Macaca mulatta: one gene and its partners. The protein of the gene in region 1 purifies or fractionates together with the protein of each later gene. This does not show direct contact. Links are inferred from orthologs where the notes say so. Each region holds a gene or a part of one and is shown on either strand. Other genes may lie near its edges. The genes, in order: PLN, ATP2A2 and ATP2A1.

What was found.
Region 2: the proteins of PLN (region 1) and ATP2A2 purify together in Homo sapiens (affinity purification with western blotting; 4 studies listed by BioGRID). This does not show direct contact. The link is inferred for Macaca mulatta from reciprocal best matches to the Homo sapiens genes PLN and ATP2A2.
Region 3: the proteins of PLN (region 1) and ATP2A1 purify together in Homo sapiens (affinity purification with western blotting, with the first as the bait; 3 studies listed by BioGRID). This does not show direct contact. The link is inferred for Macaca mulatta from reciprocal best matches to the Homo sapiens genes PLN and ATP2A1.

Annotation. Positions count from the first base shown.
Region 1 is NC_133409.1:23,531,818-23,535,967, forward strand, and holds PLN (phospholamban), read left to right. Parts: upstream 1-2,417; 5' UTR 2,418-2,498; coding exon 2,499-2,657; 3' UTR 2,658-3,263; downstream 3,264-4,150. UniProt on the Homo sapiens protein: Reversibly inhibits the activity of ATP2A2/SERCA2 in cardiac sarcoplasmic reticulum by decreasing the apparent affinity of the ATPase for Ca(2+).
Region 2 is NC_133416.1:117,503,342-117,508,288, forward strand, and holds part of ATP2A2 (sarcoplasmic/endoplasmic reticulum calcium ATPase 2), read left to right. Parts: intron 1-969; coding exon 970-1,092; intron 1,093-1,191; coding exon 1,192-1,410; intron 1,411-2,672; coding exon 2,673-3,008; intron 3,009-4,259; coding exon 4,260-4,480; intron 4,481-4,947.
Region 3 is NC_133425.1:28,051,914-28,056,860, reverse strand, and holds part of ATP2A1 (sarcoplasmic/endoplasmic reticulum calcium ATPase 1), read left to right. Parts: intron 1-500; coding exon of another isoform or gene 501-530; coding exon 531-611; intron 612-3,469; coding exon 3,470-3,555; intron 3,556-3,706; coding exon 3,707-4,004; intron 4,005-4,947. UniProt on the Homo sapiens protein: Key regulator of striated muscle performance by acting as the major Ca(2+) ATPase responsible for the reuptake of cytosolic Ca(2+) into the sarcoplasmic reticulum.

The DNA of each region.
Region 1 (4,150 bases):
ATATTATGAAGGAGGACAGAGTCTCAAGCCAAAAAAGGCCCAGTCTACTATATAATTCAGAATATAATAGAGCCAAGTTGAATTATTGAACACTACAGAATCTAAACACCATAAACCATACGGTTTCTCTGTAAAAGTAAATGTTGGGTTCTAACTGGTCAGGCCTGATACCTACCTTCCCCTTTGCCATTCTTTCAGTACTTCCTTCTGTTCCCTTCAGCACTTTCCTCTCTCAGGAATGGGCTAACAGGTTGAGAGAGGCTTTTATGAGATGTATAAAAAGACTTAGGAGAAAATAAAATCTGACAGTTGGGGTAAGGTAGTAATATGTTGATTAACAATAATATATCAACAAATGTTAACAGTCACTATGTCTGGCAATTAATTATAACTTTTTTACTCCATTTTTTATTTTTCTTATTTCAAAATTGATGCAGAAGTATCCTGATTGAAAACAAAATGTCCCCCAAGTGTTAATAACCATTATCTCTGGACAGTTAATACAGTTAATTTTCAGTCTATATATAATTTTTCTGTAATAGCATGTAAGTTCTTATTTGTTTTATTAATCATCAAAGTATAGACCCCACAGGCAGCAATAGCTTGTGGTATCTCTGAAAGAAGGCATGATGGAAACTACTGCTATTAAGTAGAGGTCTGTAAATAGAAAATGTCTGTGGTAGATGGTGAGATAATAATAATTACTACGCATTCCAAGCTTGATAGTCTTCAGTACTTAAAATCAAATCTTATTAAAATGTTAGTTAAGATAACATTCTATAAAGCTATAAAATCATAAAAAGGAATGACAATTTCAATCCGTATTTTTGGTAAAACACTTCCCATTTAACACTATTTTATTTTGGATTAAAATCAAGATCCAGGGAACAATTTGTTGTATGCATTTCCTTTTTATGAGATTGGCTCTGGAGCTATTAATACAGTAACTGATCAAACCAATTACATCTACAGTGTAACAGATTTAAAGAAACTATATGTGAGAACTTTTACCCAAAAGAATAACCCAAAACGAGCTGTACCTTAAACCAAATACAGCAGGTCCTCAAATAACATCATTTCCTTCTATGTCATTTTGTTATAACATTTAAGTATGTGTGCAGCTTGAATGTTCTCTCCATATCTGTGAGACTCTCGTTTCCTCCCATATCCCAAAACTGTGCACATTAGGTTCACTGGCGTGTTTAAGTTGTCCTGGGTTGAGTGTGAGTGTGTAGATGAGTGTATCCTGTGATGGAGTGGTCTCCTATCCAAGGTGGGTTCCTCCCTCCTTGACTGCTGGGATTGGCTCCAGCCACCAGCACCCCAAACCAGAATAAGAGGGTTGAAAAATGAATGAACGGATGAATACAAATTATTATCAAATAAAAACTGGTAAAGTCTAGGGTGATCATACAAATGCATGACAATAAATGCTATGGCACAAAAGCACTCAGAGATCCCATTGTATTTCTCAAACATTGATTCCATGTTTTTAATTGACCAACACAACCACTGTTACTCACTGATTCACGAAATACTGGGTAATTATCTTTGTTGGCTTTTTTTTTGAGACAGAGTTTTGCTGTGTCACCCAGGCTGGAGTACAGTGGCATGATCTGGGCTCACTGCAACCCCTGCCTCCTGGGCTCCAGCGATCCTCCCAAGTAGCTAGGATTACAGGCACATGCCACCAGCCTAGCTAATTTTTATATTTTTAGTAGAGACAGGGTTTCACCATGTTGGCCAGGCTGGTCTCAAACTCCTGGCCTCAGGGGATCTGCCCGCCTTGGCCTCCCAAAGTGCTGGGATTACAGGCGTGAGCCACTGCACCCGGCCTATCTGGTTTTTATTAATCTTTCTTAAATGTACATATAATTCATATTTCTCTCAACGTTTAATATTAGAAGTGTTTGGGTCTTTATTGAGAAGTTTGGTGATGTTCTTGTGACCAGAAATGTGCTATAGGAACTTACCTCTTATTTACATCAATCAGCCTAGGGTAAAAATGGTTTTGTTATATGTTGTTTTGCATAAAGTCTTGGTTTCCAGGAACTTATGGATGACACTGAGGATTACTGCAATACTTGTAGTAAATTTGGGAGAAAAAGGCAAAGACTGAAGTTACTACTCCTAACACAAATGAGACTGTCATGTTGTGCCCCATCAAAAAAGGAGAAAGAGAGACACATGGAAACACATGCGCACACACACACACACACACACACATACACACACACACACACACACACAGAGAGAGACAGAGAGAGAGAGACTATAGAAACACTTGATGTTATAAATAACAATAGTGCTGAGGAAGATGAATTAATACAACATTGTATTTTTTGTCCTGATAATAGGTTACATATATTATTCTAATCTATTTATTATTTTTACATTCCAGGCTACCTAAAAGAAGACAGTTATCTCATATTTGGCTACCAGCTTTTTATCTTTCTCTCAATCACTTAAAACTTCAGACTTCCTCTCCTGCTGGTATCATGGAGAAAGTCCAATACCTCACTCGCTCAGCTATAAGAAGAGCCTCAACCATTGAAATGCCTCAACAAGCACGTCAAAATCTACAGAATCTATTTATCAATTTCTGTCTCATCTTAATATGTCTCTTGCTGATCTGTATCATCGTGATGCTTCTCTGAAGTTCTGCTACAACCTCTAGATCTGCAACTTGCCACATCAGCTTAAAATCTGTCATCCCATGCAGACGGGAAAACAATACTGTAAAACAGACCACTTCCTGAGTAGAAGAGTTTCTTTGTGAAAAGGTCAAGATTAAGACTAAAACTTATTGTTAGCAAATGTATTCATCTGCTGGATCTTGTAAACATGAAAAGGGCTTTATTTTCAAAAATTAACTTTAAAATAAGTGTATAAAATGTAACTGTTGATTTCCTCAACATGGCTCACAAATTTGTATCCCAAATCTTTTCTGAAGATGAAATAAGAGTTTAGTTTTGAAACTGCACTGCCAACAAGTTCACTTCATATATAAAGCATTATCTTTACTCTTTTGAGGTGAATATAACTTATATTACACTGTAAAAGCTTCTTTAATACTGTTTTTCAAGTCTTCACCAAGTATCAAAGTAATAACACAAATGAAGTGTCATTATTCAAAACAGTCCACTGACTCCTCACATCTGTTATCTTATTATAAAGAACTCTGTAGTAACTCTTTGTAGTAACATTCTAAAACAGAAATTGCATTTTTGCTATGCCACATTAACATTTTTTAAAGTTGATGAGAATCAAGTATGGAAAAGTAAGGCCATACTCTTACATAATAAAATTACTCTTAAGTAATTTTTTCAAAGAATCACAGAATTCTAGTACCTGTAGGTAAACCATAAATCTGTTCTAAGACATATGATCAACAGATGAGAACTGGGGGTTAATATGTAACAGTGAGATTAGTCATATCACTAATATACTAACAGAATAGAATCTAATCTTCATTTAAGACACTGTAGTGAATTATCTGACCTAGAGTTACCTAGTTTACCACGCTGTATCTTTTGAATCATGAAACCTTAAGACTTCAGACTGATTTTACAGGTTGTCTTCCATTCCAACCTAACATCCAATGCAGGCAAGGAAAATAATACAAGATTTCCAGTGACAAAAAAAAATATTATCTCAAGTATTTAAAAAAATAAAAATATGAATTCTCTCTCCAAATATTAACTAATTCTTAGATTATATTTTGAAATGAACTTGTTGGCCCATCTATTACATCTACAGCTGACCCTTGAATATGGGGGTTAGGGGAGCTGACAATCCATGGGTCTGCAAAATCTTAACTACCTAATAGCCTACTGTTGACCATAAACCTTACTGATAACATAAACAGTAAATTAACACATATTTTGCATGTTATATGTATTATACACTGTATTCCTACAATAAAGTAAGCTAGAGAAAAGAAAATGTTATTTAGAACATTGTAAAAAAGAGAAAATATATTTACTATTCATTAAATGGAAGTGGGTTAACATAAAAGTCGTCATTCTCATTGTCTTCACATTGAGAGGAGGAAGAGAAGGAGAAAGACGGGGAGGAAGAGCAGGGGTTGGTCTTGCAATCTTGTCTTAGGGGTGTGGAGAGTGGGGAAAAAGAATATTCATGTATAAGT
Region 2 (4,947 bases), on another chromosome or scaffold:
CATGAACAGTGGCCACAGCACTGCCATCTTTCAGAAGTTCTGGTGGACAGCTCTGCTTGGGGCCATCTCTTCACCTCTGATGTTACCTAGTTCAAGTCAGTGTCATTGTACTGAATGGCATTCCTTGTCTCCCTTCAGCCAATTCTTTTGTGTTTTGAGACGGAGTTTGCTCTTTCGTCCAGGGTGGAGTGAAGTGGCGCAATCTCGTCTCGCTAGAATCTATGCCCCCACTGGCTTTAAGCGATTCTCCTGCCTCAGCCTCCTGAGTAGCTGGGATTATAGGCGCCTGCCACCACACCTGGCTAATTTTTGTAATTTTAGTAGAGATGGTTTCACCATGTTGGCCAGGCTGGTCTTAAACCGCTGACCTCGGGTGATCCACTGCACCTGACCACCTTCAGCCAATTCTTGACAACTAGAGCTTGAGACCCTCCATTGTCTTCCTTTTTTACTTGTCATAAAAGCCAAATGCCCCATAATGACTTTTGAAGTATTATGACCTGCTTCTACCGTCTTCTGCCATTACCTGTCTCACCTTTTGCTCATGTAAACTCTGTTCCAGCCACATTGGCACTCCTTCACCATTCCAGGACTTGCCAGGCTGCACTTCCCGTTCTCTGCCTGGTGGGTTTTCACCACCACCCAACGGGTTCATGCACATCTTTTCAGGCCCCATGGGGCCATCTTTATTCAAATGTCACTGTCTTCTGACCACTTTAGGTAACAGTATGATCTGTACATACGCAAATTTTCTCCCCCTTCCCTTTTTCTCCATAGCACTTGTGTTACTTTTGCATCTTAGTCTCTCTCCCCTAAAATAGGGGACAAGTTTCATGAGGGCAAAAACTTGTCCATTTTGTTTATTGCTATATCCCTAGCATCTGTCATGTAATAGGTGCTTACTGTTTGTTAGGTAAAAAAGTTCAGAAATTGCCACCCAGTAGTATTCCATATTTGTTCCCTTTGTAGGTCATTAAACAGCTGATGAAAAAGGAATTCACTCTCGAGTTTTCACGTGACAGAAAGTCAATGTCGGTTTATTGTACACCAAATAAACCAAGCAGGACATCAATGAGCAAGATGTTTGTGAAGGCAAGTATGGCAGATTGCAATTGAGATGTTCTTACCAGGGTTAAGATCCTGGTGAACCAGTAAAACAAAATTGTTGATCTAAATCTGTAACATTTCCAGGGTGCTCCTGAAGGTGTCATTGACAGGTGCACCCACATTCGAGTTGGAAGTACTAAGGTTCCTATGACCTCTGGAGTCAAACAGAAGATCATGTCTGTCATTCGAGAGTGGGGTAGTGGCAGCGACACCCTGCGATGCCTGGCCCTGGCCACTCACGACAACCCACTGAGAAGAGAAGAAATGCACCTTGAAGACTCTGCCAACTTTATTAAATATGAGGTTAGCTAATGAAAAGTTTCTTTGTCCACACCCGGCACGATTCATTGTGTTTAAACAGTACTCCTTCAAGCAAAAGGTCAAACAGTTCTCACTTTTGCCAAGAAAGAGGTGTGGTTATTTGTTTTTCTCCATGCCAGCTGTGTCACCCTTAAAATTTAGATTGCCGCTTCAAACATACATAGTTAATAATTTCATAAAAGTCTGTTATTTTCAAAGTAGAATATTTTCAAAGTAGAATAATCAAGATGAGCTTAAATAAGCTTGTAAACCCCATTTTGCAGCTCATCTAAATCATGATTTTTTTTTAAGTGGGGATATTTCTAGAATATTCATTAGTTACTGAAGGTCAAAAGGTCCAAGTTGGAGATTCCTTCCACTTTTCTGCTTAGAATAGAATTCTTTAAGATCAAGGATGTGACATCCTAAAGCTGTGAACAAAATGAAGAAGCTTTGGTATAGTGGGCTCAGAATAGCACAAGAGTTAAAGAATGGTTTGGTAACAGGAGTGTAGTGGTTTGTTTTTTTTTTTCCTCATAAGAAAATGCAGAAACTGGCCGGGCGCGGTGGCTCAAGCCTGTAATCCAGCACTTTGGGAGGCTGAGACGGGTGGATCACGAGGTCAGGAGATCAAGACCATCCTGGCTAACACGGTGAAACCCCGTCTCTACTAAGAAATACAAAAAAAACTAGCCGGGCGAGGTGGCGGGCGCCTGTAGTCCCAGCTACTCGGGAGGCTGAGGCCAGAGAATGGCGTGAACCCAGGAGGCGGAGCTTGCAGTGAGCTGAGATCTGGCCACTGCACTCCAGCCTGGGCTACAGAGCGAGACTCCGTCTCAAAAAAAAAAAAAAAAGAAAATGCAGAAACTGGCCAGGCGCAGTGGCTCACACCTGTAATCTCAGCGCTTTGGGAGGCCGAGGCTGGCACATCACCTGAGTTCGAGACCAGCCTGACTAACATGGAGAAGCCACGTCCCTACTAAAAATACAAAATTAGCCAGGTGTGGTGGAGCATACCTGTAGTCTCAGCTACACTGGAGGCTGAGGCAGGAGAGTTGCTTGAACCCGGGAGGCGGAGGTTGCCGTGAGCTGAGATTGTGCCATGGCACTCCAGCTTGGGCAACAAGAGTGAAACTCCGCCTCAGAAAAAAAAAAAAGAAAAGAAAATGCAGAAGCCTGTCTCAATGTTTAACTGGGCATTTTTCAAACTGGGGGACAAAACCTAGAATTTGCCACTTTTATTTAAAGTGATGCTCTTATTTTAGACCAATCTGACCTTCGTTGGCTGCGTGGGCATGCTGGATCCTCCAAGAATCGAGGTGGCCTCCTCCGTGAAGCTGTGCCGGCAAGCAGGCATCCGGGTCATCATGATCACTGGGGACAACAAGGGCACTGCTGTGGCCATCTGTCGCCGCATCGGCATCTTCGGGCAGGATGAGGATGTGACGTCAAAAGCTTTCACAGGCCGGGAGTTTGATGAACTCAACCCCTCTGCCCAGCGAGATGCCTGCCTGAACGCCCGCTGTTTTGCTCGAGTTGAACCCTCCCACAAATCTAAAATTGTAGAATTTCTTCAGTCTTTTGATGAGATTACAGCTATGGTGAGCATGTTTGAACATGTACAGGTGACTCGGGCTACACAAGCACACAGTGAACTCTAATTTTGACCACTGGATTTTTTTGTCATAGTTCCCTAATTTGGAATTTGTCATGATTTGGGTATTTTCTCTAGAATTCAGTGAATCAGTGATTGGCATGTTGTGTGCTACTTGCAGGGAAGATCCTAGAGTCATTTAAAACCCTGAAGGGCCTTCCAGATCAGTCCCAGAGGAACAATCTGGTGATCCTAGTCTCTTTTTTAAAGGAGACGTGTTTTTATCTTAAGTTTTCCAAAAATTGAGGATGTAATCAGTCTGTCACCTTGTGTTTGGATTGCCCTGCTTTTAAGTTGGATGTTCTTTAAGAGCTGGCTGTTAATGAAGCATTTCCAGTATTCTTCCCCTCACCTGATTTTCATCCAGATATATTATGTTAAATTTACTTTCTTCTCTTTAAAAAAAATACTAGTTTTGAAACATACTGTAAGTGTACTCTCCTCTCCCCCAGAGGTAACTGAAGTTGGAATTCAGCAAAAATATTAAAAACATGGGAGTGCTGGTTTTGTGTCTGTAGACAATATTATTTTTGCATGTTTTTGAAGACATATTTTTTGGCCGAGTACAGTGGCTCACGCCTGTAACCCCAACACTTAGGAGACCAAGGCAGGTGAATCACTTAGGGTCAGGAGTTCAACACCAGCCTGGCCAACATGGTGAAACCCCGTCTCTACTGAAAATACAAAAAATTACTGGGTGTGGTGGTGGGCACCTGTAATCCCAGCTACTTGGGAGACTGAGGCAGGAGAACCACTGGAACCGAGGAGGCGGAAGCTGCAGTGAGCCGAGAGTGTGCCACTGCCCTACAGCCTGGACGACAGAGTAGGACTCCATCTCAGAAACATAAAAATTTGCATATTTTTGCAATCTTCACCTTTCTACTTAAAATTTATCCATGTGGATACAAGTACTTCCTCTTGACTGCCACATAGGTTCTGTTTTTGTTTTTAGTAAGATAATACAGATAAATTTGAAGTCCCCTTTGTCCCACTTCAGTAAACTTATTTGGTAATTTTACATTTCCTAGGTAAAATGTGTTTTGTGACACCAACTTAAGAAACAAAAATTCTATAACTCTTTGTCAAGAGACCTACGGCTCTATTCATTTTCCTCCTGGTTCCCATTCAGTGGGCTTTTGCCCAGGGGTGTGAGTGTGCCATGCCAACTGGCTGACCCAACCATTGCTTTCCCTTTCAGACTGGTGATGGCGTGAACGATGCTCCTGCTCTGAAGAAATCTGAGATTGGCATTGCTATGGGCTCTGGCACTGCGGTGGCTAAAACTGCCTCTGAGATGGTCTTGGCGGATGACAACTTCTCCACCATAGTGGCTGCCGTTGAGGAGGGGCGGGCAATCTACAACAACATGAAACAGTTCATCCGCTACCTCATCTCGTCCAACGTTGGGGAAGTTGTCTGGTAGGTCTCTGTGACAGCATCACTTACTGTATGCCTTTATCTAAATGGGTCGTGGAGCCCAGTTCTCCCAGTTTGCTCTCCAGATTGCAGCAGCTTTGGTCTTTGTGCCTGAGTTGGAAGAGGGGAGTGGGCAAGACAGAAATGCCTTATGGAAGCAGTGGTGCTTTGGCCCTCGGGAGGGTTGTCTGCAGCTGCCGCAACATGCAAAGAATCCTCTTTAACATGAAACTGAGCTTAAATTAACCAGACAGTCATGTGAAATTCTTGCCCTCCAAAAGTTGGCTTTATCTCAGTCAGCTTATTTTTTAATTTTTATTTATCTTTTTGAGACAAGTCTCACTGTCACCCAGGCTTCAGGCAGTGGCACGATCTCAGCTCACTGCCCTCTCCACCTCTTAGGTTCAAGCCTTCCAAACAGCTGGGATTACAGGCATGTGCCACCACTCCCGGCCAGTTTTTTGTATTTT
Region 3 (4,947 bases), on another chromosome or scaffold:
TTTCTCCCTGCCTTCCCTGGCTGTCCACTTCATTCTCTCACCCCAATACCCCTTCTCTCTAACACACCCTGTTTTCCCTGAGTTCTTTCCTTGCCTTTCCTCGTTGTCTTTCTCACTCCTGTCTCCCATTCTCAATTCTAGCTTCTTGTCCTACAGCTGGACTGTCCTTAATTTCGCCTCTAGTCATTCAGTGGGCATTTATTTAGCATGTATTATGTGCTGAGCAGTATGCCTGCCCATCCCTTCTCAGGGCTCACAGCCAGTGGGAAGAGATGTGGGAATTCAAGACCAACCTGAGAACAGAATGAGACTCCAGCTCGCCATGGACACGGGGGCAGAAGGGATGGGTGTCACGATGGGTGGTTGCCAGCTTCAGGAGCTCATGCCAAGGGCCTGATGCAAGCCCTGGGAGCCTCCCTGAGACCTGAAGGATGGATGAGGAGAATGAGTCAGACACAGATTGGGTTTTTCTTAGGAAGGAAGAAAATTCCATTCCCAAGTGACCTCCCTCTTCCCTACTCTCTCCACAGTGGGAGACAAAGTCCCTGCAGACATCCGAATCCTCGCCATCAAATCCACCACCCTGCGGGTTGACCAGTCCATCCTGACAGGTCTGCTGGCCTGGGTGGGAAGATGCTTGGGGGTGGGATGTGGGAAGGAAGAGGCAACAAGGGGGAGGTGAGTGGAAAGACAGAGAACCCTCACTGTCTGAGCAACATAGAGAGACCCTGTCTCTAAAAAAATTTTTAAAAATTAGCTGGGCATGTTGTTGAGTGCCTATAGTCCTGACTACTCAGGATGCTGAGGCGGGAGGATCACCTGGGTACAGGAGGTCAAGGCTGCAGTGAGCTGTGATCACACCACTGCACTCCTTTCTGGGCAACCCTGTCTCTATCAAAATACAAACAAAAGGCTGGGCAAAGTGGCTCATGCCTGTAATCCCAGCACTTTGGGAGGCCAAGGTGGGTGGATCACCTGAGGTCAGGAGTTAGAGACCAGCCTGGCCAACATGGTGAAACCCTGTCTCTACCAAAAAATACAAAAATTAGCCAGGCATGGTGGCAGGCACCTGTAGTCCCAGCTACTCAGGAGGCTGATGCAGTAGAATCGCATGAACCCAGGAGGCTGAGGCTGCAGTGAGCCAAGATCATGTCACTGCACTCCAGCCTGGGCAACAAGAGCAAGACCCCATCTCAAAAAAAAAAAAAAAAAAAGCAAAAGCCAAAAAAAAAAACCAGCACTGGGGCCTCCCCCTGGCTCACTAGCAGTGGCTGTGGCAGTGGCAGCACTGTTTGACACGTTTTCTTTTTTTTTTTTTGAGATGGAGTCTTTTTTTTTTTGAGATGGAGTCTTGCTCTGTCACCCAGGCTGGAGGGCAGCGGCACAGTTTCGGCTCACTGCAACCTCTGCCTCCCGGATTCAAGCAATTCCCTGCTTCAGCCTCTGGAGTAGCTGGGATTACAGGCGTCCACCATCACACTCAGCTAATTTTTGTATTTTTAGTAGAGACAGGGTTTTACCATCTTGGCCAGGCTGGTCTTGAACTCCTGACCTCGTGATCTACCTGCCTCAGCCTCCCAAAGTGCTGGGATTACAGGTGTGAGCCACCCACTGCGCCCAGCCTGCTTGATGTTTCCATCTGTCCCAAGCCTGAAATGGGATGAGTAGTGGGAGAAGGCTGGACGCTGTTGCCCACTCTCTAGATAGCCGCGAGCCTACCCCTTCCACATGGACATAGGGTCACACACACCTCGAGAACTGTCCTGTCTCCTTCAGCCTCCTAAAAAATCCTCCAGGGAGGAGACATGAGATTCTGTGACAAGATAGGGGGTTCAGATACACTGAAAACCATGGCTGCTAGGCAGGGTGTGGTGGCTCATACCTGTAATCCCAGTGCTTTGGGAGGCTGAGGCAGGAGAATTACTTGAGGTCAGGAGTTTGAGACCAGCCTGGGCAACACAGCGAGACCCCATCTCTATAAAAAAATTTTAAAAAATTAGCTGGGTGTGGTGATGTGCACCTGTAGTCCCAGCTACTTGGGAGGCTGAGGTGGGAGGATTGCCTAAGCCCAGAAGCTTGAGGCCACAGTGAGCTATGATTACCACAGCAGTCCAGCATGGACAACAGAGCAAGACCCCATCTCTATAAATTTTTTTCTTTAATTAGTTGGGCATTGTACTGCACACCTGTAGTCCCAGTTGTTTGGGAGGCTGAGGTGGGAGGATCACTTGAGCCCAAGAGTTTGAGGTTGTAGTGAGTTATGATCACACCACTGCATTCTAGCCTGGGCAACAGAGCAAGACCCTGTCTCTATAAAACCACCATAGCTGCTTCTGTTTCTGCACTGGCAGGGAGAAGCGAAGAAGAGGCAGAAAACATTCCCCATGGTCCCAGGGGTCAAGGGCTAGGCTGGCCCAGGCCTGCTGCTGAGTCCCTGCTCTTAGGGTGAGGGAGGCATGGTTCTAAGGGTGGGTCCCCCTTCCTCCCAGAAACATGCTTGACAGTTGAAAGTGTGGTTCCAAATATGTCCACTTATTTGATTTTTACCCAATATATTGTTTTGCAGTGTACATGTCCTTGTCCCCATTTTACAGAGGAGCACATGGAAGTTAGGTGATTAGTCACACAGCTTGTTAGTGGTCAAGCCGGGCTCGGGTCTTTTTTTTTTTTTTTTTTTTTTGAGATGGAGTCTTGCTCTGTCGCCCAGGCTGGAGTGCAGTGGCCGGATCTCAGCTCACTGCAAGCTCCGCCTCCGGGGTTTACGCCATTCTCCTGCCTTAGCCTCCCAAGTAGCTGGGACTACAGGCGCCCGCCACCTCGCCCGGCTAGTTTTTTGTATTTTTTAGTAGAGACGGGGTTTCACCGTGTTAGCCAGGATGGTCTCGATCTCCTGACCTCGTGATCCACCCATCTCGGCCTCCCAAAGTGCTGGCATTACAGGCTTGAGCCACCGCGCCCGGCTCAAGGTCTTTTTAAGAGCAGTAGACTTCTGGCCGGGCACGGTGACCTGTAATCCCAGCACTTTGGGAGGCTGAGGTGGGCAGATCACTTGAGGTCAGGAGTTCGAGACCAGCCTGGCCAACATGGTGAGACCCCGTCTCTACTAAAAATACAAAAAAAAATTAGGCAAGTGTGATGGCATGTGCCTGTAATCCCAGCTACTTGGGAGGCTGAGGCAGGAGAATTGCCTGAACCTGGGAGGCAGAGGTTGCAGTGAGCTGAGATCTTGACACTGCACTCCAGCCTGGGTAACAAAATCGAAACTCTGTCTCAAAAAAAAAAAAAAAAAAAAAAAAGGAGCAATGGACTTCCTAGCTGCCTTCAGTGGCTTCTTCCAGAGTCCAGACATCCCCCAGGATGGTTACTTGGTCCTTACCAGGAGCTGTCCTGCTGAGCAGGGAGTTAGGCGTGGGAAGCCTGGGAGAAGGACATGATGTCATCTGAAAACCCCTTGGCCCCTTCTCCACAGGCGAGTCTGTATCTGTCATCAAGCACACGGAGCCCGTTCCTGACCCCCGAGCTGTCAACCAGGACAAGAAGAACATGCTTTTCTCGGTGAGCAATCTGGGACCAGCTGTCACACGCTTAGTCAAGCCAGGTGCCCGGGTTGGAGAGAAACATGGCGGTGTGAGAAGAGATGGCGTGGGGGAATGCGGCATGAAGGTCACCTCTTGCCTGATTCCCTGCCTTCTCTTTCCCTTCCCAGGGCACCAACATTGCAGCTGGCAAGGCCTTGGGCATTGTGGCCACCACCGGCGTGGGCACTGAGATTGGGAAGATCCGAGACCAAATGGCTGCCACAGAACAGGACAAGACCCCTTTGCAGCAGAAGCTGGATGAGTTTGGGGAGCAGCTCTCCAAGGTCATCTCCCTCATCTGTGTGGCTGTCTGGCTCATCAACATTGGCCACTTCAACGACCCTGTCCATGGGGGCTCCTGGATCCGTGGGGCCATCTACTACTTTAAGATTGCTGTGGCCTTGGCTGTGGCTGCCATCCCCGAAGGTACGAAAGCCTTTCTTTTCTCCTCCCATTTGCAATCCCATCTGCAAAGACTCCTTTTCTTTCTTTCTTTCTTTTTTTTATTTTTTTCTTTTTTGTTTTTTGAGACAGAGTCTTGCTCTGTCACTCAGGCTGGAGTGCAGTGGTATGATCTCGGCTCACTGTAAGCTCCGCCTCCCGGGTTCATGCCATTCTCCTGCCTCAGCCTCCCCAGCAGCTGGGACTACAGGCACACGCCACCACGCCTGGCTAATTTTTTTGTATTTTTAGTAGAGACGGGGTTTCACTCTGTTAGCCAGGATGGTCTCAATCTCCTGACCTCGTGATCTGCCCGCCTCGGCCTCCCAAAGTGCTGGGATTACAGGCGTGAGCCACTGTGCCCGGCCTTTTTTTTTTTTTTTTTTTTTTTTTTTGAGATCGAGTCTCTCACTGTCACCCAGGCTGGAGTGCAGTGGCACAATCTCGGCTCAGTGCAACCTCTTCCTCCTGGGTTCAAGTGATTCTCCTGCCTCTGCCTCCCAAGTAGCTGGGATTACAGGTGCACGCCACCAGGCCCGGCTAATTTTTGTGTTTTCAGCAGAGACGAGGTTTCACCATGTTGGCCAGGCTGGTCTCGAACTCTGGGCTCAAGCAATCCACCTGCCTTGGCCTCCCAAAGTGCTGGGGTTACAGGCATGAGCCACCACGCCCGGCCCAAAGACCCCTTTTCCAAGTAAGGTAACATTTACAGGCTCCAGGGATTAGGATCTGGTATCTTTAGGGACCATTATTGTTTGTTTGTTTGTTTGTTTGTTTAATAGAGACAAGGTCTCACTCTTGTTGCCCAGGCTGGAGCATGGTATCACAATCATAACTCACTGTAATCTCAAACTCCTGGATTCAAACAATCCTCTTGTTCCAGCCTCCCAAGTAGCTGGTACCCTAGGCAATCACCACCATGCCCAGC